Linked DNA regions of Struthio camelus. The protein of the gene in region 1 purifies or fractionates together with the protein of each later gene. This does not show direct contact. Links are inferred from orthologs where the notes say so. Each region holds a gene or a part of one and is shown in the gene's direction. Other genes may lie near its edges.

Region 1 (7,405 bases):
CAGTCATCTCAGCAGCTTCCTCATGCTTGCCAGGACCCGTTCACCTAAAAGCTTGGTAATCTGCTTACTTGTAATTACTGCTAAATACGTGCTGCTGTCATCTGTTAAGAAAAGTTACTTCTTACATGAACTGTTGCTTTTCCCTCAAACCCTGTAAAACTGCGTAAGACTGATCTCCTTCAAATTGTGACCATTCTTTTTTAAGTGCAGAAAAAGCTGAGCAGATACTACTGTTGGTATAGAGAGACTCAAATTGTTATGAGCTTAAAGCAGACCTGACTGTATTTGCTATTCTGCGTCAAATTTTGTCTATTATTTAAAACTTAAAATCTTAGTAATACCAACAGCCTACTGCATGACATACGACTCTACAGCAAACACGCTCAAATACTTTTTCAAATTAATAGCTTCAGGAGAACGAACATGTCTTTGTGTACGCCCTTTACTGATACAGCAACAATGAAGACATTAGCACCAATCTAATCAAGAGTGTTTGTTGCAAGTTTCTGCAGAACTTGTATTCTTGTCAAGGTAGACAGACTGCTAAAACAAACAAACAGCATGGCCCCTTGGAAAACAAGCACTAACAATTCACAGCACATTTTCCATGATTTACAACTACTAGGATACACAAATCGGAAGTGAACCTAAATTACTTCCTTGCTTCACTGTAAGAGCAATTGGTTTGCAGTAAGTCAGTGAGAACTCTTTCAAGCAGAGACTAAATTATGAGTTTTGAGCAGGAGGAGGGAAAAAGAAGTCATGACTGAGCAATGGTCAGTTTTACAGAAATCATTATTTCTCCTCCTCCAAAACATGGAAGACTAAAGATTCTCCATTTCTTTCCTGTTCTCTTTCACCCAAGTTTTTGCAGTTACTTCCTCCTACCTCTACTAAATTCTCTTCCTAAGAAAGGACTAAACAGGGACGTCCCTCTGATTAACCGTTGTGGATTCAATATTGTAGGTCTGTGAATCTTGCTAAACAGCCTTTCTTCACTGCACTAAGTGACAGAACTGCGCACAAAGAACCTCTGAGCACTGGGCATGGAGCAAAAAGAAAGGGATGAAACCCTAGAAGTCTTCAGATCTGCCAAGAAGCACTCCATTAACATCATTAAATGACATACATATAACATAACGGTGTAGCATGTTCTGCTTTACCGAATATCAAATGCCTTCACGTAGGGATTAATACTGGCAACACGGATGGTGAGGAACTGCACAGGCATATTTGAGTCTGGTGAGAGTTCATGCTGTCTGGAGTCTGTAACCGTTAAATGAATGTCCTGCTGCTGGGCAACATGTAAACAGTAGGTGGTCACTTTAATCACCCATGTGTCTGTAACAATCACCCGGGCTCCTGGGGCTCCAGTAGCAAATTTGTCAATTCTCCTGAATTCCATATTGATGGAAGAAGCTACTGCCCTCCAGCCCGACTGCGGGAGAGCATGAACAGCAAGCGTCCGAGCTAACGGATGATTATTCCAACCTTTCCGTGACCAGTAATATGCCAGGGCGCTGGTCACTGCTGGGAGGAGAACGGCAAAAAAGAAGAAGGTTTTCCATCCTTTCGAAGCCAAGTAAAAAAAATAAAGATGTTTTTCCGGTGCAGCAAAGCACATTCCAAGGTAATAGCCTGCAAGGAAAAAGATTTACTTTCAGAAAACAAGTACACACGTAAACGCGTATCCCTCAATTTTGTAGTTAATCTTAACGGGTGAGGTCACCTCCAAATCCGTTTTATTTTTGGATGGCAACTCAAATTCTAAGCCTCTTGGCCTAAGCAATTTGGTGCAAGTTCTTACCTGTCGGACGTCACTTATTTTTACCAGAACTGTATCGCTAAAGGAAGCTGACTTGAACCAGCTGGTTAAATAAAAAGTTATCGCTTTGGGAGCACACGTACTCCAACGCGGCCAGCTAGTTCCAAAGGTGTGTATTACAAAGAGGCTGTGGGGCTCCTCTACCGAAAGACCGTAATCCCGAGATTTCTGATACGACGCACACCACCACATCTACCCGGGGTGGGGGGGGGGGGACAGGGAGACACGACGCCGCGCCGCAGGCTGCCGCCGGGCCGGGCCGGGCGCGCCCCCCGCCTCACCGAGGGGCAGCAGGGAGTGCGCCAGCAGCGTGCCGGTGCTGCGCCGCAGGTGGTACTGCACGAAGGCCGCGTCCTCGCTGCCCAGCCAGGCGGCCAGCAGGCTCTGCACCGTCAGCCCCGCCGAGCGGACCTCGTCGGGCGGGAAGACGAAGCAGACGGCGAACACCAGGTAGGCCAGCGTGAAGGTCACGGCCGGGCTCTCCATGCTGCGCCGCCGGGCTCGGCTCGGCTCGGCTCGGCTCGGCTCGGCCCGCCGCCGCCGCCGCCGCGCGGCTCCCTGGGAGCGGTAGTTCCCGCTCGGCCGGGGGGAGCCAGCCCCGCCCCGCCAACGGCCGTTACCGGCCGCGCCGCGCATGCGTCGCCGCGCGGCTCCCTGGGAGCGGTAGTTCCCGCCCAGCCCGCGGCCGTTACGGGCCGCGTCGCGCATGCGCCGCCGCCGCCGCCGCGCAAGGGGCTCGGCTGACGGGGAGATGCGCGGCCGGGTGCGCCGGGCAAAAGCAGCGCATTGCGGTTCTAAGGTTTAAAAAGCCCCGTGGTGTTGGGTAACGTCCATCTGAAGTAGGCATGTGGCTGTTGGGCTCCAACTCTCTTTGGGTTTCTTGGAGTATTTTATGTAATATTTTCTTTAGAGGAGGATCGGGAGGAGCCTTAAGATCTTAAGAGGTCTTAAAGTGATTAGAGAACTTTTTAAGATATGTCTGTGAGCTTCCAAACACAGGAGAGGGAGAGGCCAGACCGCAGTCTCTGGTTACCACTGAGATACAAATAATAACTATTAACTGCAAGCATCACTGTTTCGCTTGGAAAACAACAACCAACTGCTCCTCCACACTGTAATAAATAACCATGAACTTAATATTTTTCTATTTTAGAGAAAAGAGGAAACTGCGTAATTGAGGAAGGAGAGCAGAGGAAACATCATGCAACGTTATAATCTACTAGTCACAGGAAACTTAGGAAATGCCGCCTCTGCAGCGTGAAATCTGAGGCTGGCAGAGGGTGTTGTTGATGGAGATCAGAATTCATGGTGGTTTAGTGATTGTTGCGTCAATAAAATTGAACTTGGATCGCGTGTGTTGCATTTCACTACAAAACACTTTGTTGTTACCAGCTTTATTGGTTTCAACAACCATTTCATTGTTACTGCCTAATGACTCAACTCTAATTTAATTGATGTTGAGTGTGTTAATTTTTGGAATGGATCGTGACATTTAATAATAAAAATCATAATAAAACATTGTGAGGCAGCAAATTTTCCTTCTGTGGTTTTATTCACAAGATGATGTAGAAAAACGGCAATGCTGTGGGTAGATTTGGGGCTACAGGAGACAGATGGTTTTCTCTTGGGAGGGGGAAAACAGGCAAAATGCTCTTAACAGCTACATGGGACAGCCGTGCCAAAGTGCTGAGGGCAGCGGAAGTTCATAGTTCATGTGATTTATCGATATGGATCTCTGAAAGAACCACCATTTAAACATGGACCTTAATCTTCTAAAAGTTTCCCAGTTTCTAACCTGATCCACATTAATCTCTATAGGCAGGATTCACTCTCCCTACAGAGTCCTCGTGGTATCAACGATAGTTTATGCAGGACTCCTCTTGATGCCAAACTCACTGCAGGACTGAGTCTTGGGACGCTCCAGTTCTACCTAGATTGACCACTGTGTACAAAGTCTGGTCCACAGCCTCAAACCCCAGATTTCTTCACAGTAGGCATCTAGGGAGGGGGATGCTGGAGTTCCCCTCCCGAGCTGTTGCCCTGTTTTCCTTTGTGTGGAAATCAGGGCGCGTGCCACCTGGCTTTCTCCCAGCACGAAGCAGGGCCACAGCTGGGCCTATGCCCAGGATGTGCGCTGGGATGCATAAAAATCCATATGGGCCTTTAGCGTTTTTCGCCCCGGCCTTCTTTCTTCGCTCCTTTCAGCGCCCAAATCCCTCCTGCCCTGTCAGTTTAGTTTTCTAAATGTCCCCCCTAGGACTGGATTACTTACCTTGGGATTTACAGACGCAACTCTCCGTCCTAAAAAGAAGCTTTACGTACATAAGTTCTCAGCAGTCTGATCTAGACTACCAGTAAAACCGCAAACGCTTTACGCAGTTCTTTCCTGCATAGCAACGAGCTGTTCAGTAACAAGGAATTCGGCCGTTATTCACCCCGGCGGGCCGCCGTGATGGCGCCCCCGAACTACATTTCCCGGCATGCCCCACGCAGTACCATCACCCTCCGCGAAAACACCCTTCCGCGGGGGCTCATTGGCGAGGGAATAGCGGCTGGTCCCGCCTCCTTTCAGCGCTCTTTGCCGATTGGCGAAACCTTTCCGAATGCCGCTTCCTCATTGGCGGGCTGGGGCGGCCGTTGAATTTTGAAATCCTGTGGCGGCAGCTGAGGCGGTGCTGGCCGGCGGTGGCTGCGGTAGTGGGGACCTGGAGCCCGCGCAGCGCCTTGGCCGAGCGCACGGCGGCAGGTACTGCGGGCTGGGGCACCCTGGCGGTCGAGGGGGGCTTGGGGAGCTGCGGGCCGCCCCGCTGATTTGGGAGCGGGAGGTTTACGGGGGTTCCCGCCGTCTCGGAGGCGCCTCCCTGAGCCTCGGGAGGCTGTGGGGGAGGGGAGTCTTGTTGGGGGCCTCCGCGAGGTCGGGGAGGGGGCAGAGTGGGGCTGAGGGGGGGGGTGGCGTGAGGCTGAGGGGAGGGGGGGCCGCCGCCTCCGCGGGGTCGGGGAGGGCGGTGTGGGACTGAGGGGAGGGGGGGGCCGCCGCCTCCGCGGGGTCGGGAGGGGTGGCGTAGGGGTGAGGGGAGGGGGGGGCGCCGCCTCCGCGGGGTCGGGAGGGTGCGGCGTAGGGCTGAGGGGAGGGGGGGGCCGCCGCCTCCGCGGGGTCGGGAGGGGTGGCGTAGGGGTGAGGGGAGGGGGGGGCGCCGCCTCTACGTTTCGGGAGGGGGCGGTGTAGGGCTGAGGGGAGGGGGGGCCGCCGCCTCCGCGGGGTCGGGAGGGGCGGCGTGGGGGTGAGGGGAGGGGGGGCCGCCGCCGCGGGGTCGGGAGGGGTGGCGTAGGGGTGAGGGGAGGGGGGGGGCGCCGCCTCTGCGGGTCGGGAGGGGTGGCGTAGGGGTGAGGGGAGGGGGGGGCGCCGCCTCTGCGGGTCGGGAGGGGGCGGTGTAGGGCTGAGGGGAGGGGGGGCCTCCGCGGGGTCGGGGGGGGGCGGCGTGGGGGTGAGGGGAGGGGGGGGCCGCCGCCTCCGCGGGGTCGGGGGGGGCGGCGTGGGGGTGAGGGGAGGGGGGGGGCCGCCGCCTCCGCGGGGTCGGGGGGGATGGGTCTGGAGGGGGGGGCCGCCTCCGCGAGCTTGAGGGAGGGTCTTGACGAGGAGTCTCGGGGGGCATCCGCATAAGCTTGGGGGCTGTATGGGGCTGGGGGTAGCTCCATAGTCCTGGCAGCGCCGGGCGGGGGCGGTGTTTGGTGCTACCGAGACACCCCCCCGCCACGGAGGGTGGGGTGGGGAGGGGGCCGCCCACCCGAGCTTGCCGCTAGCTAACAGCGGGGCTCCTTCCCCTCCCTCAAGCTGTCTGTCTGCTGAGGGCGACGCTTCTCAGTCGGGTGACTTCTGCGGTCAGGTGCACCTCGCCATTTCGGACTGTTTGCTTAACTTTGGAGTGATAGGTTTGCACTAGAAAGTACAGCCGTCAGCTCTGTCAGTTTGCCTGGAAAGTTTCAGGGCACGTTTCTCCATTCATTTAAGTATTTACAAATTGTAATAACGCGTGCATTTTTGACTTGAAATGCTAGGCATGCACATTACTGATTTTTAAATTACTCTATTGGCCAGTGCTCTGCAGCTCAACTGCGAGAGGATCTCAGAAGATAATTAAGCACAAAAATTCCATCTCTTTGCCCTGCATGTTCAGTGCCTTTTTTAGGCCTTTGAGGATCCAACTGTATTTTAGGTATTGTGCCCTGATGTTCTTTTAAGATGTGAAGTGATTTCATTTGGGGATCTTTAAATGGCCATAGTGGGAAAACTTGCTGTTTTTTTTTTTTTTTTTTTTACAACATGGGCTTGTGTGCATTGGACACTCATCACTTTAAAAAAACTAAGATTTCTTTGTTTTGTTTTGTTTAAAGCCTTCCTTTCCCTTTTACCTTATTTCCCACAGCTACTAGCCAGCGAGACTGTGATAATAAAATCTAGATCAACTTCTAGTTGCACATATTTTAAGTCAATAATTACATATTTTAACAGCTGAATCCCAGAAAATGGAGTTTGCTTCTAATATCTAAGATTGTGGGTAAATGTGGTATATGTGCATCATGTCAGTATACTAGGTATTTAATTTGGCCTAGCAACGGTGCATAAAGAGCTCAATGCAATAAACCTAAAGTCTCCCATGAGCAGGGGATGCTCATTTGAGTTTGTGTTGGAAGGTACTCAATTTTATCTCATCTTAGGCTTTGTTTTTAAACTAACTAGCTACGGTAAACATCTAGTTTTTCTTTAGTCAGGTGTTGATCAGTTGTCTCAATTTCAGCTTGGAGGAATAAAGGGAAGCAGTGAAGCTGATTGCGCTTAAAGTTTTATAAATTCTTAATGTAATTTTTTAGCTCTAAAGCAACTTTGGCTCAAATATGACTCAGAGAAATAACAAATACAGGCATAACCTGCTTCTTGCTGTTGCTTCTTTAGCTATTGTTTGTATTCCATTGCTGATAGTGTAAAACTCTGCTCTACTGTTGTCTGTCTTGCAGACAAAGCAGCTGAGTTCAGTGGATAGTAAAGCAAATATCTGTGTAATGATTAATATAAGAGTGGGAGAATGTATGCAGAGACTTAAATTCACAAATTTAAACACACGGGGACAGTAGATTTGAAAACACGATGTAAAACTTTCAGGGTGAATGTTCTTGTTACCTTTCTGAATGATTTTGTCATCTTCAGATGATTTACTTGACTGCTCTTGGATGAAGGATGGAAAAACTAATTGTTAGGTGTTTTATTTCAAAGAAAGCTTTTGGTCTTTTGGAATGGTGATCTATTCCAGAAAGCCAGCATCTTCTCCAGTTGACAATCCTGATTATCTTTCATAGGTCCTTGTGTGCGTTTTTCCAATGGGTTCATTCTTATGGAAGAAGCAGCTTTGCTGGTGGTTTGACGGGTAGCTATGCACCCATCAAGGAATCATCCTTGGTGGGCAGTGGCTATGCCTAATTCTTGCTGTATGCTTTCCATCCTCTGGGTTTTTCTGCCTTTTGTCTTTCTGTTCGAAAAAACCCCACAATGCTTGGTGAGGCTACTACTGATTTTAAATCTGTTTA
Region 2 (6,916 bases), on another chromosome or scaffold:
AGCCATTTCTTTTCAGCCTGCCCTTTATTTTTGGAAAGCCCTTCACTATCAACAGAAAGAAAGCATCAGCTTTCTCACTGAAACTGCTTTTTGTTGCAATTCTCTCACTCTATTATATTTTAAATTGTGTTTTCTTTCTATGTTACCATTCTACAGAAAAGAACCCAAACAAGTGAAAAAAAAAATCTTTCTACTTATTCAAAAACCAAACTCTAGACACATTAAGTAAAAGTAATAACCTTCAAAAAAAAAAAAACACCACCAAAAAACCCACTTCTCCCCACTCCAGAAACCTCTCTGACTGTGTTTCCTGCATTATGCTATTTACAGAGCATTAAAGAAGGAAAAAGTGATGTGGTATAACTGCTGCTGTCCGGGGACACTGATTATAGTAAGACGTGTGAAGATCTCAGCTACTTTTCCATCTTAAATACAAACAGACTCTCCAAAAAAACTGACGACTGCAAATGGAAGATTGTTTCAGAGAAAATGGGGAAACCTCACTGAGAGAGGATGGATTAGGCTGCCTTTTGAAGCTTTTGGATTCCCTCAGTGTCTCCAGAATATTAGTCATGCATCCTGCTCATGCCCCGCTCTTAAGGGTGATCCATGCTGATGATATGAGATGGACTCAGCTGGGTTTGCTCAGGAACAGAGTGCCAAGCCTCTTGCATCTGGCTGATACTAACCAGAAACACATTTTCTTCTGTTTTATGCCTGGGTGAGCCATTTCTCTAGTATTTAAAGAGCCTTCACTAGTCAGGTTATTTGGAGAGGAGGCACACCATACCACTCAACCTGAATTAGCTTAGCCTTTGGAAACATCTGAGCTCCAACCCTCAGTTGCAGCTGAGCGGCACAAAAGGCAAGAGAGAGGGATGGGAAGTCACTTTGGGGTATTCTGAGCTGCTTGGATCCTGAGCAAGGAGGACACTAATACTGTTCTTTGACACCAATTACAAGAGCCTTTAGACGGCTCTGCATCGTAAGCTGTCGGTGGCCCCAGGTTATTAGTGAGACACCATCAGCTACGAAGCCTTTCTGCCACATTCTGTTTGTCATTGCAAGAAAGGAGAGAGGTGGGAGGTGATATGAAGGGCAGTATCACCAATGCTATGCCACTCGAGGATCCCATCAGCTAGAAAGGTAACGGGAGAATTGCACAGAGTGATTCGGACACATCTAACGATTACAGCTTGAGAAAATGCAGGCCAGTTACAGGAGATTACAGATTTCTCAATGTATAATTCAGTATCGTAAGTATGTACATGGTACAAACTTCTGCTGCGAGACTACTTTAATTCCTTGACAATAACAGTGCTAAATTGACCTGGGGGAAAGAAAGACACACTTAACGTTTATAATTGATTTCTGCCCTATATCATTTTGGCTCCTCGCCTTCTCATGTAATGCTAATACGAGTTATTGCAGATTTAATATTTTGTTATAGATTAATTCAATGGTATTTTTGACTAAGCTAGTGTCCAGAATGACTTTGCACTTGGTGACATCTGTGATGCCAGCATGCAAAATGATTCTTCTGGCATTTTTACAGATTCTCTTGTACCCCACAGTATGTCTTGAGAAATCAAGCTATGACCATGCCTGATTTGGCTAAGAATATCAACTAATATAACACAAGTAATGATAATAGTTTTTTGCAGGAGTAACAGCTTCCGGCTATTTTCATTCCTTCTCAGGCAGACTTGTTGCCCAGGCATACTTTCAGTGGGTTTTACATACTTGTTACAGTCAAACTTCTTTTAGGCTTGACTGACAGGACGGAACGGTCTTATCAGAACAGTCACATTAGCATCCTGATTTTTGGCTAGTACAGAATAGCTGGGGTCTTAGAACAGAATCCTTGTTCAGCTGACTCTCTGTGCCATTCCTTCTACTGATGAGAGCAAGTCCAGTTAGATACAGATCTTAATGTTTATATTTGGCTGCCTTCAAGATATTTTTCACAGTCTGAATGACTTCCCTTTCAAACCTTTTATTTGGAGGATATTCTGGTGATAGTAAGCTCTAACTTACAAAATTTGTGATTCTTTAAGACCTGAAGTCCATTGTCAGTCATTAGAGTCCTGAGCATTCAGTAGAAGCATTTAAGATAAGCATATTTATTAGATGAAGTCTCCTATTTCAGACTGCATTGACGTTGCTGTCAAAGGTACCCACTTACCTGTTAAGATGCTGCTCTTCTAATTATTCATCTGCATTTTGTGATTCACCCCTATAGCAACATTTTCATTTACATCATCTCTATGCCAGTAAAAACATGTTAATTTTCTCACTAAATTGGTATTCGTTGGCTTGTGTTTCAGAGCCTATCCTCTTTTTTGAATTAGTATTTTCAACAACTGGACATTTTTTATTGACTAGCTCGTCTTTCACTGTCTTACTGAAACCGTTAGTTGACAGTGGTTGACCCTGTCTCAGATACCAGGCTGTTCAAAGAAGAGGTTGTATGCAGCGTTGAATAAACGAGATTCAGAGTAAATAACTGAGGTTGTGAAACCTAGATCAGAACTTTATGAAGAAGGTACGTACATATTTATCTCTAAAATCCTATTCAATTTTTGCATATAAAATCTAGAAACTTATAAAGGAGGTATATATACATTTATTTATAAAAACCTATATATTATTAATATCTAAAATCTAGAAAAAATGATAATTTAAAAGGAAAAATTAAAGCAGAGATGTAAAAGGACTGAGATACCATCATGTCAGTGAAGACTGCAGAGATACTTGCTCATCCTTTCCATTAACTGGAGACCAAAGAGAATGGGGGTATTCAGTGTTTGGCAGAAATTAGCTGAACATGAACTGGGTTAAAGTTATGTATAACATGTGTTTCACCCACTGGGAGTACTAAAAGCAAAACATAAATCTGTATTTAGTACGGACGTGGGGTTAGTGAAAGATGTAACAGCAAACGTGCATGAGGCTGAAATAACATTCCCGTATTTCTAAAAACACATCTAGGCCTCGTGCTTCCAAGAGCACAGAAAGGCAATTGGAAGAACTGCAGCACCAGCGAGTAATTTACCTGTAGAGTTCATTTAGTGGGCTGCATTGATTATGTATTTTCCTAGAAATGAAGAATCCAATTCTAGCACTTTGCTCATGTGTTGATTACTTGCAAAGTAAGAACGCGATCCAGAAAGCAGGGAGAGAAACGTTGCGGGGAAAGGACACGGTCTGGTGGCAGAAGCGTTCAAAATCAGTGCGAGCGAGTCTGCACCTTGGGAAAACACTTCAGATTTCGCTCCTGGCACCGCAGGGATGAGCAAACCAGTCATTTAATGCCGAGGCTGAGCTTGCCCTCAGCAAGCCCGAGCAGCCCCCGCCGGCTGCCCGTAACCCTGCCTCGCAGCCTGCACCCGCCTGCTCCCCGGGAACCGCACCGGGAGGGAGGCGCAGGCCTGCCGCCCCCGCCGCTCTCCCTTCGCGAGCCCGGAGGCGGCCCGGCGGCAGCGAGGCCTGCGACCGGCCGGCCCCGGCCCCGGCGACGAGCACAGCGTCCCGCCTCGCCTTCCCCCTCGCACCCGCGCCTGACGCCGGCCGGCCGGGCGGAAGGGCCACGGCGTCGGGGCTCCTGGGCACGGAAACCAGGCCCGGCCGCGCCCCGGTGGGGGGGGGAAGGCGGGGGCACCGCCGAGCCCCTTCCCCGGCGCGGCCTCCGCAGGGGAGGCGGTGCGGCGGGGGGCGTGGCCTCCGCGGCCCGCTCCTCCTCCTCTCCCCCACCCCCCGCCCTCGCGCGCCGCGCCGCGGCGCCCCCCCGCCCGGCCGGTGTCTCGAGCCTGCCTCGCGCTATCCCCGGTCCTGCCCATTCTCTGTCTCTCCTTCCCCCCCCCCCGCCCATTCCCGCGCGTTGGTTCGCTCTTCCCCGCCCCTTCTCCCCCACCTCTGCCTTCCCCTCCCCTCCCCTCGCCGCCGCCCCCCCCCGGCTCCCCGCGGTGGTCTGGCCCGGCCCGGCGGCGGAGGGAGCGAGGAGACGGGCAGGGAGGCGCTGGCGGCCGAGGGTCTCGGTGTCCGTTGACGCGCCGGCCGCTGCGAGGCGGAAAGCGGCGGAGGGGAGCGGAGCGGGCGGCCGAGCGAGCGAGCGAGGAAGCGGGAGCGGCTCCCCGACCCCGGGCAGCACCATGAGGTGAGGGGCCGGCCCCGGGGAAAGGCGAAGGGGGGGGGCGGTTAACGTCTCCATCCCCCCCCCCGCCCCTAACGGTCCCCGGGAGTTGGGGGGGGGGTTCGGCTCGCGGAAGGGGCTGAGCTGAGGGGGAGCCCCGCGGTGGGGGAGGGGCCCATTGTTAGCGGCGGGTGGGGGAGGGGCGGCCCGGCCGTCCCCGTCCCCCGCGGCGGCGGCGGCGAAGTTGATGGCCGAGGAAGGGGGGGGGGAGCGGGGCCCTGCGGCGGGGGGGCCGGCGCGGTGCTCCCGGCGCGTCCCCTGTGGTCACCCCTGCTGCGGCTGGGAGCACGTCGGAGGTGTGCCCCGCCACGGCGCGAGGGGGAAGCGCCTGGCTGCTCTCTCTCTCTTTCTTTCTTTCTTTCTTTCTTTCGTTCTTTCTCTCTCTCCTTTTTTTTTTTTTTCCTTTCCCCTCTTAACCGGCGGGTGTTGCATTGCAGCAGCAGCTGGGCTTTTCCCTGTGTAATCAATAAATAGAAGTCGAGCGCGGGGAGGGGGGGGGCGGAGGGAGGAATCCCCCTTTCGGCAGCCGTGAAAGTGTCGCGTTTGGAGGTTTTCAGATGTAAACACTGAGGTGGACGTTACTCATCCCCTTTTGAGGGGTCTGGGGGAAGGCACACGTAGGTTTCTGCCCTCGTTTGAACGAGAGACTGGAGCTTGATGCGGTCTCATTCATTTGTAGATAATTTTCTGCGCCCGTGGCTCGCCCCCCCCCCCCCAATTTCTTTTTAGTGCCTGTTTTGTTTCCATAATCTTTTTTTCTGGATTGGTGCAAGACTTCGTAAGAGACGTGGCTTGATAGCCTAAATGCTGATATATTTGGGGGCGGGGGGAACGTTATGCTCCGTAGGCCTGTCCTTTAGTTAGGAGGGGAAAGTGAGTTACCGTCCTTCCTCTCAGAGGTACCGTCTTACTTGCGGTTGGATTTGAGTCGTCTTTGTGTTAAGGATTATTGATCAAAAGTTGTAAGGCCCTTCGGGGTATAACGCAGTAAAACTTGTGTGATGAAAATCAACAAATTCTTTTGCTGCAAAAAAGTGTCAAGCCATTAGAACTCTGCATAAAGTCAAGTAAAATTCTAATCACATTTTTGAACTGTATTTTTAAGGGTTTGTGTGCGTGTGCACGCCTTAAATGCGAGCAGTAACTTTGCAGTGGGAAGCATGGGTATTTTCTCCCTGCTGTTTTGTTTAAAATTTAGTCTAATGTTTCTCTCTGTTTTTCTTAGACCGTAGGTATTTATGTACTGTATTATTTTAAGCTTTTGTTCTGTATTACGGCAACTTATTTTCACTTATTCATGTTGCTATGTACAAGTCAGATGCCCTGCGAGAGTAAGAAGTTTCGACTTAAAAAGCTTACAGTTCATGAATTCTTTAAATGATTTTTTTAAAATTTTATTTTGATGATCTTTAACACAATGAATGCTATTAATTTAGCACAAGTTGGTATAAATATTTTGAGAAACTCTTCTTGTATAATTTGGGCTTTTATTCTGGCAAAAAGTACCCTAATTGCGTGACTGAGGCTGAGTGAAGTAAGTTATACCAGCAAAAGTGTCCTTTTGCTAGTGTAACTTTTATGTGTTAGGACTTCTGCCAGCTCAGAGCGCAAGTATTTCTCTTAAGCAGTGTAACAGGAAAGTGTCTAGGTTGGACCTGCCCTTAGGTTGCCTGTTTAGATGTTTGAATAATGACTTTAAACATTCAGTAAATGTAGGCAAATGCTCTTATAATGTGTCTGAAATTTCTGCCTGCTTGTGCAGAATGTCAAGCTGCTAAGAGGGAAATGTAGTGTCAAGTTGAGTAGTTGCTTTGAGTGGTCATTGGGTAATTCAAGGAAATCTGACTTCAAGAACTCTGCTTCCAAGCCTTGTGAAAAAAGCAGCAAATGGTACTAATTAAACTAAACAAGTTAAGAAAATGATGTGGCTTAAGCAGTATTTTCCCTATCTAGGCGCTATTAAATTGACTCAGTTTTGTTTAATTGGCCCAGCTTCAGTGCGAGGGCAAGCTTTCACTGAACACGCTCTCTTCGGACTTGTTTAGACGAGGATTGGTATATCTGAAACATGTTTAAACCAGTCTCTTCACAGTATATTGTGCTTGAGTAATGTCTTTTAATGGGTATTTGCTGGTCGAGGCAAGTCATGATTGGGGGAAGGAGTGAGAAAGTGGATAGAATAAATGATCTGCCAGTGTTTAATATATGGCTTGTCTATTTGCAAGTGGTGTTAAAACTGTTTTCTAGTTAAGTATACAGTTGGCGCTCTGAGTACAAAAAAGGAATAAATACTGTAAGTCATTCTGAAATGAGCTGAAAAAAATAGCCTTCTGTTTCTGTGATGTCCTTTGAAACACACACGTTTGAGACTATTCTTCAGCCATCCTCAGCCTGAAATAATTCCGATGACCTCTTGCGAAGATCTCACCCCTTGTCTGGGACGGTTAGCTGGTCAGTTATCAAACAGCTAACTAGTTTTCCTTTTGTCAGCTAAAACTAAATACTATTGTAAAGAGCATCGAAATATTATAAAATAACCAACAATTCAGTAACACGCAAACATCAGCAGTACAAATTGACCACAGCAATTAACTTTTTTCAGTGGTCTGTTTTGAATTTGAGTGAATGTTATATGATGTTTGGATAGCATGTATTAGGCATTGTAGGTTGCAGATAAAACTGTGAATCTTAGACGTCCCAGTTTAAATGTCTAGCCCGTGTATG
Region 3 (7,305 bases), on another chromosome or scaffold:
TGAGGGGGGGGCCCAGGCGTCCTGGCGGCCCCCCCACCCTGGGGTGTCACAGACTTCGGTGACTTGTTCCCCCCCCCCACCCCATCCTGCGCCAACCCGGATGTCCCAGCTCCTGCCCTCGGGAAGGGGGAGGGGCACAGCTCGGACGCCTGGGCCCTCTCCGCACCCGGAGGAAATGGGGGAGGGGGGGAAGGGGGCAGGGCCCGGACGCCTGGGTCCCCTGCTGATAAGGGGAAGGAGTGGGGAGGGGTGGGGTGGGGGGGAGTATGGGGGGTGCTTGTGGTTTGGGTGCCTGTCCTGGCGGGGGGGGGAAGCACCCAGGGGTGCCCCATGGCCAGCCTTGGGGTCGCCCCATGTCCCAGGGGTGCCCCACACCCAGGGGTGCCCCATGGCCAGCCTTGGGGTCGCCCCGTGTCCCAGGGGTGCTCCACACCCAGGGGTGCCCCATGGCCAGCCTTGGGGGTCCCCATGTCCCAGGGGTGCTGCATGGCCTGCTTTGGGGGTGCCCCACACCCAGGGGTGCCCCATGGCCAGCCTTGGGGGTCCTCATGTCCCTGGGGTGCCCCATGGCCTACTTTGGGGTGCCCCACACCCAGGGGTGCCCAATGGTCAGCCTTGGGGGTTGCCCCATGTCCCAGGGGTGCCCCATGGCCAGCCTTGGGGTCGCCCCGTGTCCCGGGGATGCTCCACACCCAGGGGTGCCCCATGCCTGGCCTTGGGGGTGCCCCTTGCCCAGCTTTAGGGGTGCTCCACACCCTGTAGGTGCCCCCTGCCCAGCCCTGGGGGTGCCCCACACCCACTAGTTGCCCCATGCCTGGCCTTGAGGATGCCCCACACCCCATGGGTACCCCTTGGCCGGCCCTGGGGACACCCCATGCCTCGTGGGTGCCCCCTGCCCAGCTTTAGGGGTGCCCCACACCCCGTGGGTGCCCCCTGCCTGGCCTGGGGGGTGCCCCATGCCCCGTGGGTGCCCCCTGCCCAGCCTTGTGGGTGCACCCTGCCCAGCCTGGGGGGACACTCGGCCCCCCGTGGGTGCCCCCTACCCAGCCTTGGGGACACCCCATGCCCCGTGGGTGCCCCCTGCCCAGCTTTAGGGGTGCCCCACACCCCGTGGGTGCCCCTTGCCCAGCCTTGAGGATGCCCCGTGCCCCATGGGTGCCCCCTGCCCGGCCTGGGGGACACCCCACACCTCATCGGTGCCCCTTGCCCAGCCTTGGGGATGCCCCATGGGTGCCCCTTGCCCAGCCTTGAGGATGCCCCGTGCCCCGTGGGTGCCCCCTGCCCATCCTGGGGGACACCCCGCACCCCATGGGTGCCCCCTGCCTGGCCTGGGGGGTGCCCCTTGCCCAGCCTTGAGGATGCCCCACGCCCCGTGGGTGCCCCCTGCCCAGCTTTAGAGGTGCCTCACGCCCCATAGGTGCCCTCTGCCTGGCCTGGGGGGTGCCCCACGCCCTGTGGGTGCCCCCTTGCCCAGCCTTGGGGACACCCCATGCCCCGTGGGTGCCCCCTGCCCAGCTTTAGGGGTGCCCCACACCCCGTGGGTGCCCCCTGCCCAGCCTTGGGGACACCCCACGCCCCGTGGGTGCCCCCTGCCCAGCTTTAGGGGTGCCCCACACCCCGTGGGTGCCCCTTGCCCAGCCTTGAGGATGCCCTGTGCCCTGTGGGTGTCCCCTGCCCGGCCTGGGGGACACCCCGCACCCCATGGGTGCCCCTTGCCCAGCCTTGGGGACACCCCATGCCCCATGGGTGCCCCTTGCCCAGCCTTGAGGATGCCCCATGCCCCGTGGGTGCCCCCTGCCCAGCTTTAGAGGTGCCTCACGCCCCATGGGTGCCCTCTGCCCGGCCTGGGGGGTGCCCCACGCCCCATGGGTGCCCCTTGCCCAGCCTTGGGGACACCCCACGCCCCGTGGGTGCCCCCTGCCCAGCTTTAGGGGTGCCCCACGCCCCGTGGGTGCCCCCTGCCCAGCCTTGGGGACACCCCACGCCCCCTGGGTGCCCCCTGCCCAGCTTTAGGGGTGCCCCACGCCCCGTGGGTGCCCCCTGCCCAGCCTTGGGGACACCCCACGCCCCCTGGGTGCCCCCTGCCCAGCTTTAGAGGTGCCTCACGCCCCATAGGTGCCCTCTGCCTGGCCTGGGGGGTGCCCCACGCCCCATGGGTGCCCCTTGCCCAGCCTTGGGGACACCCCATGCCCCGTGGGTGCCCCCTGCCCAGCTTTAGGGGTGCCCCACACCCCGTGGGTGCCCCCTGCCCAGCCTTGGGGACACCCCACGCCCCGTGGGTGCCCCCTGCCCAGCTTTAGGGGTGCCCCACGCCCCATGGGTGCCCCCCGCCCGGCCTGGGGGAGCACCCGGCGCCCCCCGGGCGGGTGCCGGGGCGCTGAGGCCGGCGGCCGCCCGCAGCGAGACGGTGGTGTGCAGCGCCCGGGCCACGGTGATGCTCTACGACGACGCCAACAAGAAGTGGGTGGCGGCGGGCGGCGGCCCCCAGGCCCCCAGCCGGGTGCAGCTGTACCGCAGCGCCGGCGGCGCCCCCCCCGCCTTCCGCGTCGTCGGCCGCAAGCTGCAGCCCGACCAGCAGGTGCCACCGCCGGGGGGGGGGGGCCGGGGGGACCGCCGGGGGGCTGGGGACATCGGGGGGGGGCTGGGGACACTGGGGGGACTGCCGGGGGCCTGGGGACACCAGGGGGCTGGGAACACTGGGGGGACTGCTGGGGGGCTGGGGACATCGGGGGGGGCTGGGGACACTGGGGGACCGCCGGGGGGCTGGGGACATCAGGGGGGCTGGGGACACCGGGGAGGCTGGGAACCCTGGGGGACTGTTAGGGGGCTGGGAACATCGGGGGGGGCTGGGAACACTGGGGGACTGCTGGGGGGCTGGGGACATCGGGGGGGCTGGGAACACTGGGGGACTGTTGGGGGCTGGGGACATCGTGGGGGGCTGGGAACCCTGGGACACTGGGGGGGCTGGGAACACTGGGGGACTGCCGGGGGCCTGGGGACACCAGGGGGGCTGGGAACACTGGGGGACTGTTGGGGGGCTGGGGACATCGGGGGGGCTGGGAACCCTGGGACACTGGGGGGGCTGGGAACACTGGGGGACTGCCGGGGGCCTGGGGACACCAGGGGGGCTGGGAACACTGGGGGACTGCTGGGGGGCTGGGGACACTGGGGGGGGGCTGGGAACACTGGGGGACTGCTAGGAGGCTGGGGACACTGGGGGACCGCCGGGGGGCTGGGGAGCGGGGGGACTGCCGGGGGGACCGCTGGGGGGCTGGGGATGCCATGGGGACCGCTGGGGAGGTGGGGACTGCTAGGGGGCTGGGGACCGGGGGGACCGCTGGGGCTGGGGACACCACAGGGACCATCGGGGGGTTTGGGGACACCCCCAGGGCCTGGGGATGCTGGGGGGACCACTGGGGCTGGGGACACTGGAGGGACCGCAAGGGGTGGCTGGGGACACCACGGGGACTGGGAGGGTGGGGACACCAGGGACACTGCCAGGGCTGGGGACACTGGGGGGAACACCAGGGCCAGGGTTGGCTGGGGACACCGGGGACACTGCTGGGACTGAGAGGGTGGGGACGCTCTGGACACCCCTAGGGCTTGGGGACACTGGGAGGACTGTTGGGACTGGGGGGCTGGGGACACTGTCTGTGGGGTCCCCAGCTTGGGGGTCAGAGCTTGGGGGGGGGGGGACCTGGGTATCGAGTGACCTCGGTGTCCCCCCCGAAGGTGGTCATCAACTGCGCCATCGCCAAGGGTCTCAAGTACAACCAGGCGACGCCGAGCTTCCACCAGTGGCGGGATGCCCGCCAGGTCTGGGGACTGAGCTTCGGGTCGCGCGAGGACGCCACCCTCTTCGCCACCGCCATGCTCCAGGCCCTGGAGGTGCTGGAGGCCGGTGAGCGGGGACGTGGGGACACCAGGGAGGTGGTGGCACGGGGTGACGTCCCCCAGGGTTGGGGACTGAGCTTCGGGTCGCGCAAGGACGCCACCCTCTTCGCCACCGCCATGCTCCAGGCCCTGGAGGTGCTGGAGGCCGGTGAGCGGGGACGTGGGGACACCAGGGAGGTGGTGGCACGGGGTGACGTCCCCCAGGGCTGGGCACTGAGCTTCGGGTCACGCAAGGACGCCACCCTCTTCGCCACCGCCATGCTCCAGGCCCTGGAGGTGCTGGAGGCCGGTGAGCGGGGACGTGGGGACACCAGGGAGGTGGTGGCACGGGGTGACGTCCCCCAGGGTTGGGCACTGAGCTTTGGGTCGCGCGAGGACGCCACCCTCCAGGCCCTGGAGGTGCTGGAGGCTGGTGAGCGGGGACGTGGGGACACCAGGGAGGTGGTGGCACGGGGTGACGTCCCCCAGGGCTGGGGACTGAGCTTCGGGTCGCGTGAGGACGCCACCCTCTTCGCCACCGCCATGCTCCAGGCCCTGGAGGTGCTGGAGGCCGGTGAGCGGGGACGTGGGGACACCAGGGAGGTGGTGGCACGGGGTGACGTCCCCCAGGGCTGGGGACTGAGCTTCGGGTCGCGCGAGGACGCCACCCTCTTCGCCACCGCCATGCTCCAGGCCCTGGAGGTGCTGGAGGCCGGTGAGCGGGGATGTGGGGACACCAGGGAGGTGGTGGCACGGGGTGACGTCCCCCAGGGCTGGGGACTGAGCTTCGGGTCGCGCGAGGACGCCACCCTCTTCGCCACCGCCATGCTCCAGGCCCTGGAGGTGCTGGAGGCCGGTGAGCGGGGACGTGGGGACACCAGGGAGGTGACACCGTGGGGTGGCATCCCTCAGGTTGGGGGGTGGGGGGGGTCTCAGCTTTGGGTTGTGCGAGGACACCAGGCTCCTCGCTGCCACCCTGGAGGTGGGTGAGCACGGATGAGGTGACACCCGGGGGTGGCCCACTGTGACGTCCCCCCAGCCTGGGGACGTCCCCGGGTGCTGCTCTGAGCTCTCGTCCCCCCCCGCCAGCCCCCGCTCAGCCCTGGCCCGTCCCCAACGGCCCGTCGCTGGAGGAGCCGGAGCAGCAGCGGAGGTAGGAGCCCCCCAAGGGCACCCTGGGGTGCTCATTCCCCCCCCCGAGACCCCCTGCATGTGGGGGGGGCTGACTTGGGGGACACAGTGGCTGTGGGGGGGTCTGTGGGTGCTGACTTGGGGGTCAACATGCCCTGGAGGGGCGCGGGTGCTGGCCTGGGGGTCAGGGTGCCCCGGGGGGATCTGTGGGTGCTGAGTTGGGGGTCAGGGTGCCCCTGGGGGACCACAGGTGCTGGCCTGGGGGTCAGGGTGCCCCAGGGGGGTGCATGGGTGCTGACTTGGGGGTCAGGGTGCCCCGGGGGGGGCCACAGGTGCTGAGTTGGGGGTCAGGGCACCCCCGGAGGGGTCCGTGGGTGCTGAGTTGGGGGTCAGGGCATCCCCGGGGGGGCCACGGGTGCTGACTTGGGGGTCAGGGCACCCCAGGGGGGGCGCGGGTGCTGACTTCGGGGTCAGGGTACTCCAGGGGGGTCTGTGGGTGCTGAGTTGGGGGTCAGGGTGCCCTGGGGGGGCCGCGGGTGCCGACTTGGGAGTCAGGGTGCCCCAGGGACATCCATGGGTGCTGACTTGGGGGTCAGGGCACCCCGGGGGGGGGCACGGGTGCTGACCCCTCTCCCCGCAGGCCGGCGCCGGAGGAGCTGGAGCGGCGCGTGGCCGGCGCAGGTGGGTGCCGGGGAGGGGGGTGACATGAGCCCACCCCCCCACCCAAAAAACCCCCCACGGGGAGAGGGGGGCCAGCGTGGGTGCCCCCCCATGAGCCACTCTCCCCCCACAGGTGCCCCGGCCCTGCCTGCGGGGGGGCCTCCGCCGCCCCCCGGCCCCCCACCACCCCCGGGACCCCCGGGGCCCCCCCCGCCTCCCGGACCCCCCCCAGCTGCCGCCGGGGTCCCGCCGGCACCACCCCTGCCCGGGCCCGCGGGTGCCCCCGGGGGGGCGTCCGGGGGGGGCTCCGGCTTCGCCGCCGCCATCGCGGGGGCCAAACTCAGGAAAGTCGGCAAGGTACCGGGGGGGGGGGGGGGAATTACCCCTGGGGGGGCAAAATGGGGGGGGAGCTCTGCGGTGGGGGGTAATACCGTTTTGGGGGCAGTTCCCACGGGGGGGGGCAGCCCCTGGGGGGTAATACCTGTTTTGGGGGTAGTTCCCATGGGGGGGGGCAGCCCTGCAGGGGGATAATACCCATTTTGGGGGCAGTTCCCACGGGGGGGGCAGCCCTGCAGGGGGGTAATACCCATTTTGGGGGCAGTTCCCACGGGGGGGGCAGCCCCAGGAGGGTAATACCTGTTTTGGGGACAGTTCCCATGGGGGGGGCAGCCCCTGGGGGGTAATACCTGGTTTGGGGGCAGTTCCTATGGGGGGGAGGAGGGGCAGCCCTGCAGGGGGGTAATACCCATTTTGGGGGCAATTCCCAGGGATGATTGCAGCCCCGGGAGGGGGAACAAATCCGGGGGGGGGGTCGCGCTCACCCCGTTTCCCCCCAGCAGGATGAGGCGCCCGGCCCGGCGGTGGCGGCAGCAGCACCCAAGGGCGATGGCACCCGCGGGGGAGGCGGGGGGGGCCTCATGGAGGAGATGAGCGCCATGCTGGCCCGACGGTGAGGGGGTGCCGCATTGTGGGGGGGGCGGTGACGCAGGTTTGGGGGGGGGGACACTGCGCTGACCTCCCCCCCCCCCCCAGGAGAAAGGCCACGCTGCAGGGGGACAAGCCAGCGCCAAAGAGGGACGAGGACGCCGGCAGCGTGAGTGCCCCCCCTTGCCGAAATACTGCTTTGGGGGTGCCCCCCCATCCCTGCGCTGCCCCATTGCCCCCCCCCCCCCCCCCGCTGAGTATTGCTCCTCTCCTGGGGGCTCCCTGTTGCCCCCATCTGGTATTTTGGGGGGGGGGGGGGGATGGCACCTCTCTCTCTCTCTCTCCCAGTTAATCCCATTGTCCCCAGCTGGTGCGGATCCCCTTGTCCCCCCCCTCCAACCTGGCTACCCGCCCCCCCCCCCCCGGTAAATACCCCGCCGTGACCCCTTTTTTTGCCCCTCCCCACAGGACGACGCGGAGCCAGCGAGCACTAGGACCGCGGGGCAGTCCGCGGGTGAGTGCGGAGGAACTACGACTCCCAGCATGCCCTGCCGCCGCGGCGCGGCGCAGAGCCTGCTGGGAGCTGTAGTCCCGAGAGAGGAACGGGTTTTTTTTGGGGGGGGGGAGGGTGGTGGGTGGCTGCGCCCCTGAAGGGGGGGCTCTGCCTCCCCCTCACCCCCTGCTCTCTCACTGCAGAGCCCATCCGGAGGCCGTGGG
Region 4 (7,235 bases), on another chromosome or scaffold:
GGTGGGTTGGAACCCAGAGACCTTTTTGGCTTGTTTTCACTGTCTGTGGTTTATTTATATGGTCCCTTTTCCTGGAAGCTGCCACATTAACTTTTGCAGTGACTCCTCTGGCCTGAGTCTGGTTCAGATTCTGTCTTTGGCAACCTGCAAATCCCATGCAGTTCAGCTCACAGTCGATGCCCCTGAAGAGAGCAGACAGAGCTACTTCATTGCTAGCTCTTGGTCACAGACGTTCCCCTAGTCATTCCAGCACTAGCAGCGCTCTGAGGCTTTGTGTTGTGGGGTCTCTGACTTAAGAAATATCACAGAATAGATGGGATATGCTTTGGGGCTTAAGGGGACAGTGACACAGTATCAAGTCACCTTTTAAGGGCCTACAGAGAGTAACCACACTTGCCATGATTTGCTTCATGAGAGCATCACTGCTTACTTTCCCACCTGCTAGTAAAAACCTTAATGAATTCTGGGATTGGAGCACTGTGTCTGTTGCTGGCAGTGGACATTGCTCCTTTTCACTCCCTTCTGTTAAAACATGTTTCTGCTCTGGAAAAACAAGTCAGCAAATGGCCCTTTCAGAACTGTTCTCTGTAGGTACTGTGGTCAGAGTACTGTATTCAAGCTAAAAAAATAAATTAGTATTGTTCGTAGCTCTACTGAGCTAATGGGAGGAAATGTATCTCAGCAAGCACTAGATTTTACTCTTTCCTAACTGATATGTATAAAACAAAAGATAGAAAATTTGCTTAATCCCCACAAGTCCCAGTTCTACAAGGTTCCAGTTGTTTTGGCCTTCAGGACCTTCGATTACAGTGATGAGGGGAAATAAGAGAATTCCTAGGTTGACTCTCCCCCAGGGGAATCTTCAGTGCTGACAGTTAGGAACTGCTTTATTAATAGACTAAGCCCATTTGACCTAGAATAGGAGACTAATCGTGGAGCTGTAAGGGCCATTTTTAAATAGTTGCTTAGCAGATAGAATTGCACTTTAAGTTCTATTATTACTAGTAAATAGCTGTCCTTGCAGAGTCATTCTCCCATCAGCTCTAGGAACCTCAGATATTCTCTGGCCTCCAAGGCCTTTACCCTGTAGGGAATGAATAATCCCACCCTTGCAGTTACAGACACCTCGGCAGCATCTGGAGCTTGCATACTCCTGAGGACTGTGCCACTGTTTCATGTTCTCTTGGTGTCTCATATCTGGTCGGAGAACAAAGAGGTAGAGAAAATCTCTCTTGACTCCTCTTCGATAGTGCGATTTATATCATCTCGCCAAGTCATGTGAATACTCTTAGGGTAAGATAGGAAGTCTTATGCCATATATTGAGAAGCAGAACTTTCCGGTGAAGAATCTCTTGCAGCAAACTGTTAACCTCTCTATCTTCTGGGAAGAGGCCAAGTGCATTCCCACCCATGGCGTGAAAAGAGCAAAGCGTACAGTAGGGATATGGCATAGAATTGTGGGGAGGATGCATTTCAAGCGCAATACTTTTCCAGCTAGTTTAAAAAAATGAAAATCCATCCTATTCTGTTGTAACCTTGTTCAGATACTAACAGTCCTACTACCCTTGGAAAAACATGACAGTTGCCAGTGGGTTCGCAATGCTCTTTACACCAGAGGTGGCTCTGCAGCAAGAGGTTGCCGCTTTGACATGGCTAGGTGGCATGAAACTGTCCATAACTTGCACCATTGGGCTGACTGGTGTATATTCCTGTGGAAAATGAACTGGAGCTAAGGCTTAGAAATTTCCCTGTGTTAATGTGGGACTCTTCCCTACTCTCAGAGGGATTTTTTTATTAGATTTTTTTATTTAATTATTTATTTGATTGACTCCAGCCTGGGAAGCACTGTTTTTGTTGGGCAGGGGCACATTTGGATTGAGGCGTGGACTCAGTGGGGAACTGAGAAAGGAGTGCAGGTAACTGAGGTGGACCTTGCCTGTCTAGGCTGCCTGATGCAGGGACAACGTCGAAGGGCTCGAGCATAGGCAGAAGAACCAATACGAGAGGAAGCCAGGTGTGTAGGGCAGGGGCATGAGAGCTGGGTATAGGTGGATGGGGAAGAAGGTTCTGACTTCTAGGAGAGCAGGCTGTTTTTGTGTCTTCCCTCCTCCCCCCCAACAGCTATGTGAGTGTGCACCAAATTCCTGAGGCAGGACAGGGGTGAAGGGAGATACCACCCAGACCTGTCACTTGAGGTTCAGTCAGTCTGTAGAAATAATTGCTCTCCGAGTCACAAGTGCAGAATGGAAAGGAAAACCCAGTCAGTCTTTTCAACAATTAATGGTGCTTGTGATCTCCACCTTGATGTAATCTCTGCTGCTTCTTAGAAGGGACCCTGCACACTCCAGCCGAACACGATTCGTAACTGCTCTCTGCTTCCTTTCTGAAATAATTTAAGGTGAAAAGGAGCAAAGAAACATCCCACAGCCTCACGTCCGCAAGTGAGGTGGGCAGAAATCAGTTTCATTTTTCTAAAGTATGCAGACAGCCCCAGTGAGATGCTGCCTAGAGGGTAACGTCATGTTTCCCCATTCTGGGGAAGAGAAGGCCCTCACTGCGCTTAGGCTGTTAAGAATGTAGAAAGGCCACTGGAGGATGATCTCCTGAGCACTGATTTACTATGTAAAAAAAGCAAACCTCTCTCCTGTCTGTCCTGAGCTAACATCAGTGATTTCCCTGCGTTCCTGTGTAATGGTTTTAACGTTACTCACTGGAGACATTGGACTTTCTGGAGTTATTTAACCACTATGTTCAGTATTTTAGGGGTTGATATGATAATTTAATATAAATTTAGCTTTTCTTAACCACTCTGCCTGGCTTTTGGTTGTGAATGTGCATGGTTTTTGGACTCTCCTTTGAAAGAGGAGCTCCTGGACCTGTTTGTACAGAACCTCAACTTTCCTTCGTTTCAGAGGAGCAAGAAGGTAGGAATGGACTGGGGTTCTTCTGACGATCAGCTTGCTAACACACTGCTTCTGGTGCTAAGGCTTAGGATCAGAGGCCAAACATCTACACCCACTCCCATTTGCAAATGCCCATGTGCACGTACACTCTTCCCCTCACCCTTGCTTTTTTCTTTTTATTACCACTTTAACATGGCAACAGCAGAAGAGCGTGGCCATCATTTTTTGAAGAGGTTTAGGATCACACTGGTCTCAAGCAACATCTACTGTAGGGATCGTTGCTTGTTTTGTGCCTTTGACTAGTGGAAAAGATGGCTCTGAAGAACTGTTTTTCTATCCATAAGGGTTTTTGTTCAAGATTCTGCTGCTTTTTTTTTTCTTTTTGATGACGAGCAGGAGTTTAAGTGGTGCAAGGATGAAAAATGAACAAAATGGTCAGTAACAACTGACACTACAATACTGCTACTAATCTTACGGCCCATTGCATCCTGTTCTGATGACGAAGTACCAAAAAGTATTTTAAATACCTTAGCTTTGTTCCTGCCCATTCTTACGTTGAAGCACAGTTCGGAAATGATTTCACCAAGGCCAAGCAAGAATGTAATCAGCTTTTCTTGGCACCTCACTCCTCGTTCTAATCTAGGCCCTGTAAGCATGGTGCAATGGTAATATTCAGTGCACTCCCTTCTTACGGTTGGGTTGATGGTACCAGCCATTGCTTTCTCTTCTAATTGATTATTTACTTCAGCGTCCTTTCCCAAAGGATCTTTTTCTTAGCCAGCTTTACTGAAGAAAGAGAACAAAGCAGAAAAAAACTAGGCACTTGCACTTTTTATGTTAAGACGAGTTACTGCTTGTCACAGAACAGGCACAGGGAAGGATTTTGCCCTTCCAGTATAACAGGGCATTTCCAGAAGCCGCAGCTGCAGGCAGGAACAAGTTCCAGGTCCTCGCTCGTTTTCTGCCTTGCTCCCGCGCCGGGGAAAAGCCGGCGCTCCGCGCTGCCCGGCGCGGCCGCCTCTCTCGCCAACGGCACCGCCTGGCCGGGCGCGCCCCGCGGCGACCCCGTCTCGGCTGAGCCCGCCGCGACGCGACGCCTGGCCCCGTTACCAACCCTTCGTCCTCCCCGGCCGTTACCAGGTGCCCCCGCCCTCAGGGGCTTGGCGTCCCGGACTGCGCGGGGGGAGGCGACAGCCCCCGTGCGGGCCCGGGCCGCCGCCGCACCCCCGCCCCCCCCCACCGCGCGCGGAGCACGCGTTGCCACTGCCGGATTCAAACAGGCCAATAAAGCGCGCGGGTGAGGGCGCGGGCGGGGCCGGCGCCAGCCAATGGGCACTGAGGACACTGCGAGGTGCGGGCGGTGTTAGTGATTTCAAACCCCGCCGAGGAGCGGCCGGACGTTCGCCGCGCCCGACCCGCTGGGGCACAGGTGAGGCCCCTTCCCTCCTTCCCCACCTGCTGCGGTGGGTCCAGGACGCCTTCCGCAGCTCCCTGGGGCCGGGCGGCGTGGCTCCCCTTGCTCCGCCGGGCCTGAGCCGCCCCCGTGGGGATCGGCGCGGGGGCGGCGCCCGCGGGCGGCGCTGACATCCCTCCGCCGGAGCGGGCCGCGCTCGCGGGCATCGCCGGCTCCTCCTGCGGCGGCAGGCGGCCGTTGGCGGCGGGCGGGCGGGCGGCCGTTGGCGGCGCTAGGCCGCGGGCCTGTAGCAGGCCGCGCTGCGGAGGCTGAGGGGCGCCGCCCGCCTGGGCCGCGCGGGGAGTGGGGGTTGGGGCCTGCGGGGTGCTGCGGCCGGGGCCGCCCCCTCGGTGCTGCAGACGCTGTAGTGGCGAGCTGGGAGCGCCTGTGGGGCTGTCGGGACCCTTGGTCGGGAGGAGGCCGGCAACGCGGGCCCCAGGGAGCCGAGCTCGGCCCGTTCCTAGTGGGCGGCCGGGGAAATGCCGGCCTGGCTTGTGTTCCCTGAGCACGAGTGGCGCCTGGGGGCTGCTTGCGGGGTTGGTTTCCCCCCTGAAACGACCTAGGGGAAAATATTCCCTGTAGTGATTCCAGTCTTAAAAGAAGAGAGTGAACTCATCTGAATTTCTGTATCTCTGATGTTGGGTTCAGGTGTTTGTCTCGGATCTCCAGGGTCCCTCTTCAGAATGCGCTTCCTGTTGAATCTTCTGTAGTGAAGGATTTTTCTTTTCTCCTGTTTCATTTGATTCTGAGTCAGAGTCTTGTGATCCTTTTTAAGGCAGTAGCTTTCAGGCTGGTGTGCAGGGGATTCTCCTCCTGAATTTGGATCTCTGTCAGTTACATGCCCAAATGTTTTTGTTCAGGGTGTGTGTCAACTACTTAATTATATTGTGTTCTTCCCTTTTTTTACTGTTCTTATTTTGTACGTAGCATTGAATCCTCTCAGAACCTATAGCTTTGACTGAGGATGCCTGTATAGTTATCTTATGGCTTGCTCCACTAAATTGCAGTACTGTTAAAGTTGCCTTCTGCAGGTGAGAAAGGAATGAATAGTGGTCTGGATGTTAGCTTACTAGCTGTAGACTTTCTCTGTTTATTACTGGTGTGATGGAGAAAGTATTGCTACGGGCTTTCAACGAACATTTCTGTTGGATTGGAACTTACGATGCAATCTCAAATATTGAAATGTTATAGAAAAAGCTATTTATAGAAAGCTACTATTAAAACTTTGTGGTAGTGTCAAGGTAGAAAGATGAATGATTAGGTGCAAGTTGTTCTTATAGAATTGATTCTTTAATGTTCAATGTCAGATCAGTTGATGGTGCAAAAAATAAAATTTGGCTTAACTGCTTCTTGCCCCAGGCATGGTCTTTCTTTAAACCTTACTATTTTGGTGACTTCCCTTGCTTAAAACTTGCACCTTTGCCCCGCCCCTCAGGAGTTGCAATAGGATTAAAGCAACTTGTGGTAGAAGCATTTATGGAAGGTAATTCTCAAGAACATAAAGTTGGGAACATTACTAGAGGGCCTGCTGTGGAAAAACTACATGTTTATGCAATACCTGTGTGCAAATAGGTAAAACTTGGATTTTAGAATAATGAGAAATTGGAGTTAGTCAGATTGCTTTAAATCCTTCCTGTACTGATGCAAGACTTCTTATTTGCTCTTTTAAATTAAAAAAAAAAATCAGATGTATGGTAATGGCATGTTATTCCTTATTGTCATATGTGCATGGCTTGTATCTAATGGGACTTATTTCTATGCTGACTCTTGTTCTTTTGCTGATATGGGCCAGTTATGTAATCTGGGCCTGTGTTTCTAAAAGTCTGGTCTGTGCCACTGTTGAATTGATAGTCTCATATAGACATCTATTAGCATAGTAAGGTTTTGTTCCCATTAAATAGTAATCTGCTCAGAACATCTGACTTCCAATGTAATGTTAAGATTCTTTTTTTGCCTTGTGCATCGCTGTATATGCATGTGTACTGGATGATAAAATGACAGCTGAAATTCACTTGATATTGCATGTTGCAATTTTTTGCAGTCAATCCTTTTTTTCTCTTCTTACTATCCTGAATAGCTTAGCCTGTCATCTGCAAATCTCTGGTCACCCCCTTTTATAGAACACTTGTGAATGTCTTGAACATGCAATTAGAGAACTGGTCTGACTGTTTTGTGAGAGTACAGATAATTGTCTCCCAGTCATAAGTATCTAATTTGGAAGAGTTTGTTGTGTAGGATGTATGACCTGAAAGAGCCTTGAAAGATGTAAACACTTGCAAACTTTGCAATTTAGGCTTTCAGAATCATGGTCACGGAACATCTGGTCCCTGTCGTCCCCCCCCCCCCCCCCCCAAGTCTCTTCTCTGTTCTGTTGTTCCATGTAGATGCCTGTTTCTATTTTAAATTTGCTATATTTCTCTTCAAAATAGTTTACAAACAAATTAGAATTCATAAGCCATTTATATTGCATTTTTATCCCAGAGTAGGGTGGAATTAAGTTCACTTTCATCCTTAACAGAATGGCTGGTTTCAAGACAGCATAGTCTATGGTTATTATAGCTATCACTCTACTGTTGCTGCTACCCTGTTGTAGACTCTTCCGATGGCACATCTTATAGGACCTGTGTTTTAAAGTGTAACGTGGGAAGGTCTTGTATGCTTGTGTTTAAATTAAACATTGCCTTGTCCCAAACAATGCTGCTATGGCATCTTATTTAAAGAGCCTCTTGAACTGAGCAATTGCACATTGTTTGGAGTTGGGGTTGTCTCTATGACAGCTTCATTGCTGTGAAGTCAAGCAGAAGCTGGTGTGCGCGTTTCATGCCTCCCTGGGGTGGGAGTTGAGACAGCAGAAGAAGAACTTTGAAGATTATTCAGTG

Evidence for each region.
Region 2: the proteins of TACC3 (region 1) and ENAH purify together in Homo sapiens (co-immunoprecipitation; 3 studies listed by BioGRID and IntAct, with this or other methods). This does not show direct contact. The link is inferred for Struthio camelus from reciprocal best matches to the Homo sapiens genes TACC3 and ENAH.
Region 3: the proteins of TACC3 (region 1) and vasodilator-stimulated phosphoprotein-like purify together in Homo sapiens (co-immunoprecipitation; 3 studies listed by BioGRID and IntAct, with this or other methods). This does not show direct contact. The link is inferred for Struthio camelus from reciprocal best matches to the Homo sapiens genes TACC3 and VASP.
Region 4: the proteins of TACC3 (region 1) and CKAP5 purify together in Homo sapiens (co-immunoprecipitation; 5 studies listed by BioGRID and IntAct, with this or other methods). This does not show direct contact. The link is inferred for Struthio camelus from reciprocal best matches to the Homo sapiens genes TACC3 and CKAP5.

Annotation. Positions count from the first base shown.
Region 1 is NC_090945.1:78,788,212-78,795,616, reverse strand, and holds the start of TACC3 (transforming acidic coiled-coil-containing protein 3), read left to right. Parts: upstream 1-4,398; 5' UTR 4,399-4,571; intron 4,572-7,405. Other genes in the region: TMEM129 (E3 ubiquitin-protein ligase TM129), read right to left, coding at 1,164-1,638, 2,107-2,311. UniProt on the Homo sapiens protein: Plays a role in the microtubule-dependent coupling of the nucleus and the centrosome. Involved in the processes that regulate centrosome-mediated interkinetic nuclear migration (INM) of neural progenitors.
Region 2 is NC_090944.1:125,990,700-125,997,615, forward strand, and holds the start of ENAH (protein enabled homolog), read left to right. Parts: upstream 1-3,896; 5' UTR 3,897-4,151; coding exon 4,152-4,156; intron 4,157-6,916. UniProt on the Homo sapiens protein: Ena/VASP proteins are actin-associated proteins involved in a range of processes dependent on cytoskeleton remodeling and cell polarity such as axon guidance and lamellipodial and filopodial dynamics in migrating cells.
Region 3 is NC_090957.1:1,487,201-1,494,505, forward strand, and holds the start of vasodilator-stimulated phosphoprotein-like, read left to right. Parts: upstream 1-4,306; 5' UTR 4,307-4,362; coding exon of another isoform or gene 4,363-4,391; 5' UTR 4,392-4,416; coding exon 4,417-4,729; intron 4,730-4,962; coding exon 4,963-5,026; intron 5,027-5,644; coding exon 5,645-5,685; intron 5,686-5,797; coding exon 5,798-6,021; intron 6,022-6,500; coding exon 6,501-6,613; intron 6,614-6,696; coding exon 6,697-6,757; intron 6,758-7,056; coding exon 7,057-7,102; intron 7,103-7,284; coding exon 7,285-7,305. Other genes in the region: homer protein homolog 3-like, read left to right, coding at 2,401-2,578, 3,733-4,306, 4,363-4,391. UniProt on the Homo sapiens protein: Ena/VASP proteins are actin-associated proteins involved in a range of processes dependent on cytoskeleton remodeling and cell polarity such as axon guidance, lamellipodial and filopodial dynamics, platelet activation and cell migration.
Region 4 is NC_090946.1:39,656,977-39,664,211, forward strand, and holds the start of CKAP5 (cytoskeleton-associated protein 5), read left to right. Parts: upstream 1-4,217; 5' UTR 4,218-4,332; intron 4,333-7,235. UniProt on the Homo sapiens protein: Binds to the plus end of microtubules and regulates microtubule dynamics and microtubule organization. Acts as a processive microtubule polymerase. Promotes cytoplasmic microtubule nucleation and elongation. Plays a major role in organizing spindle poles.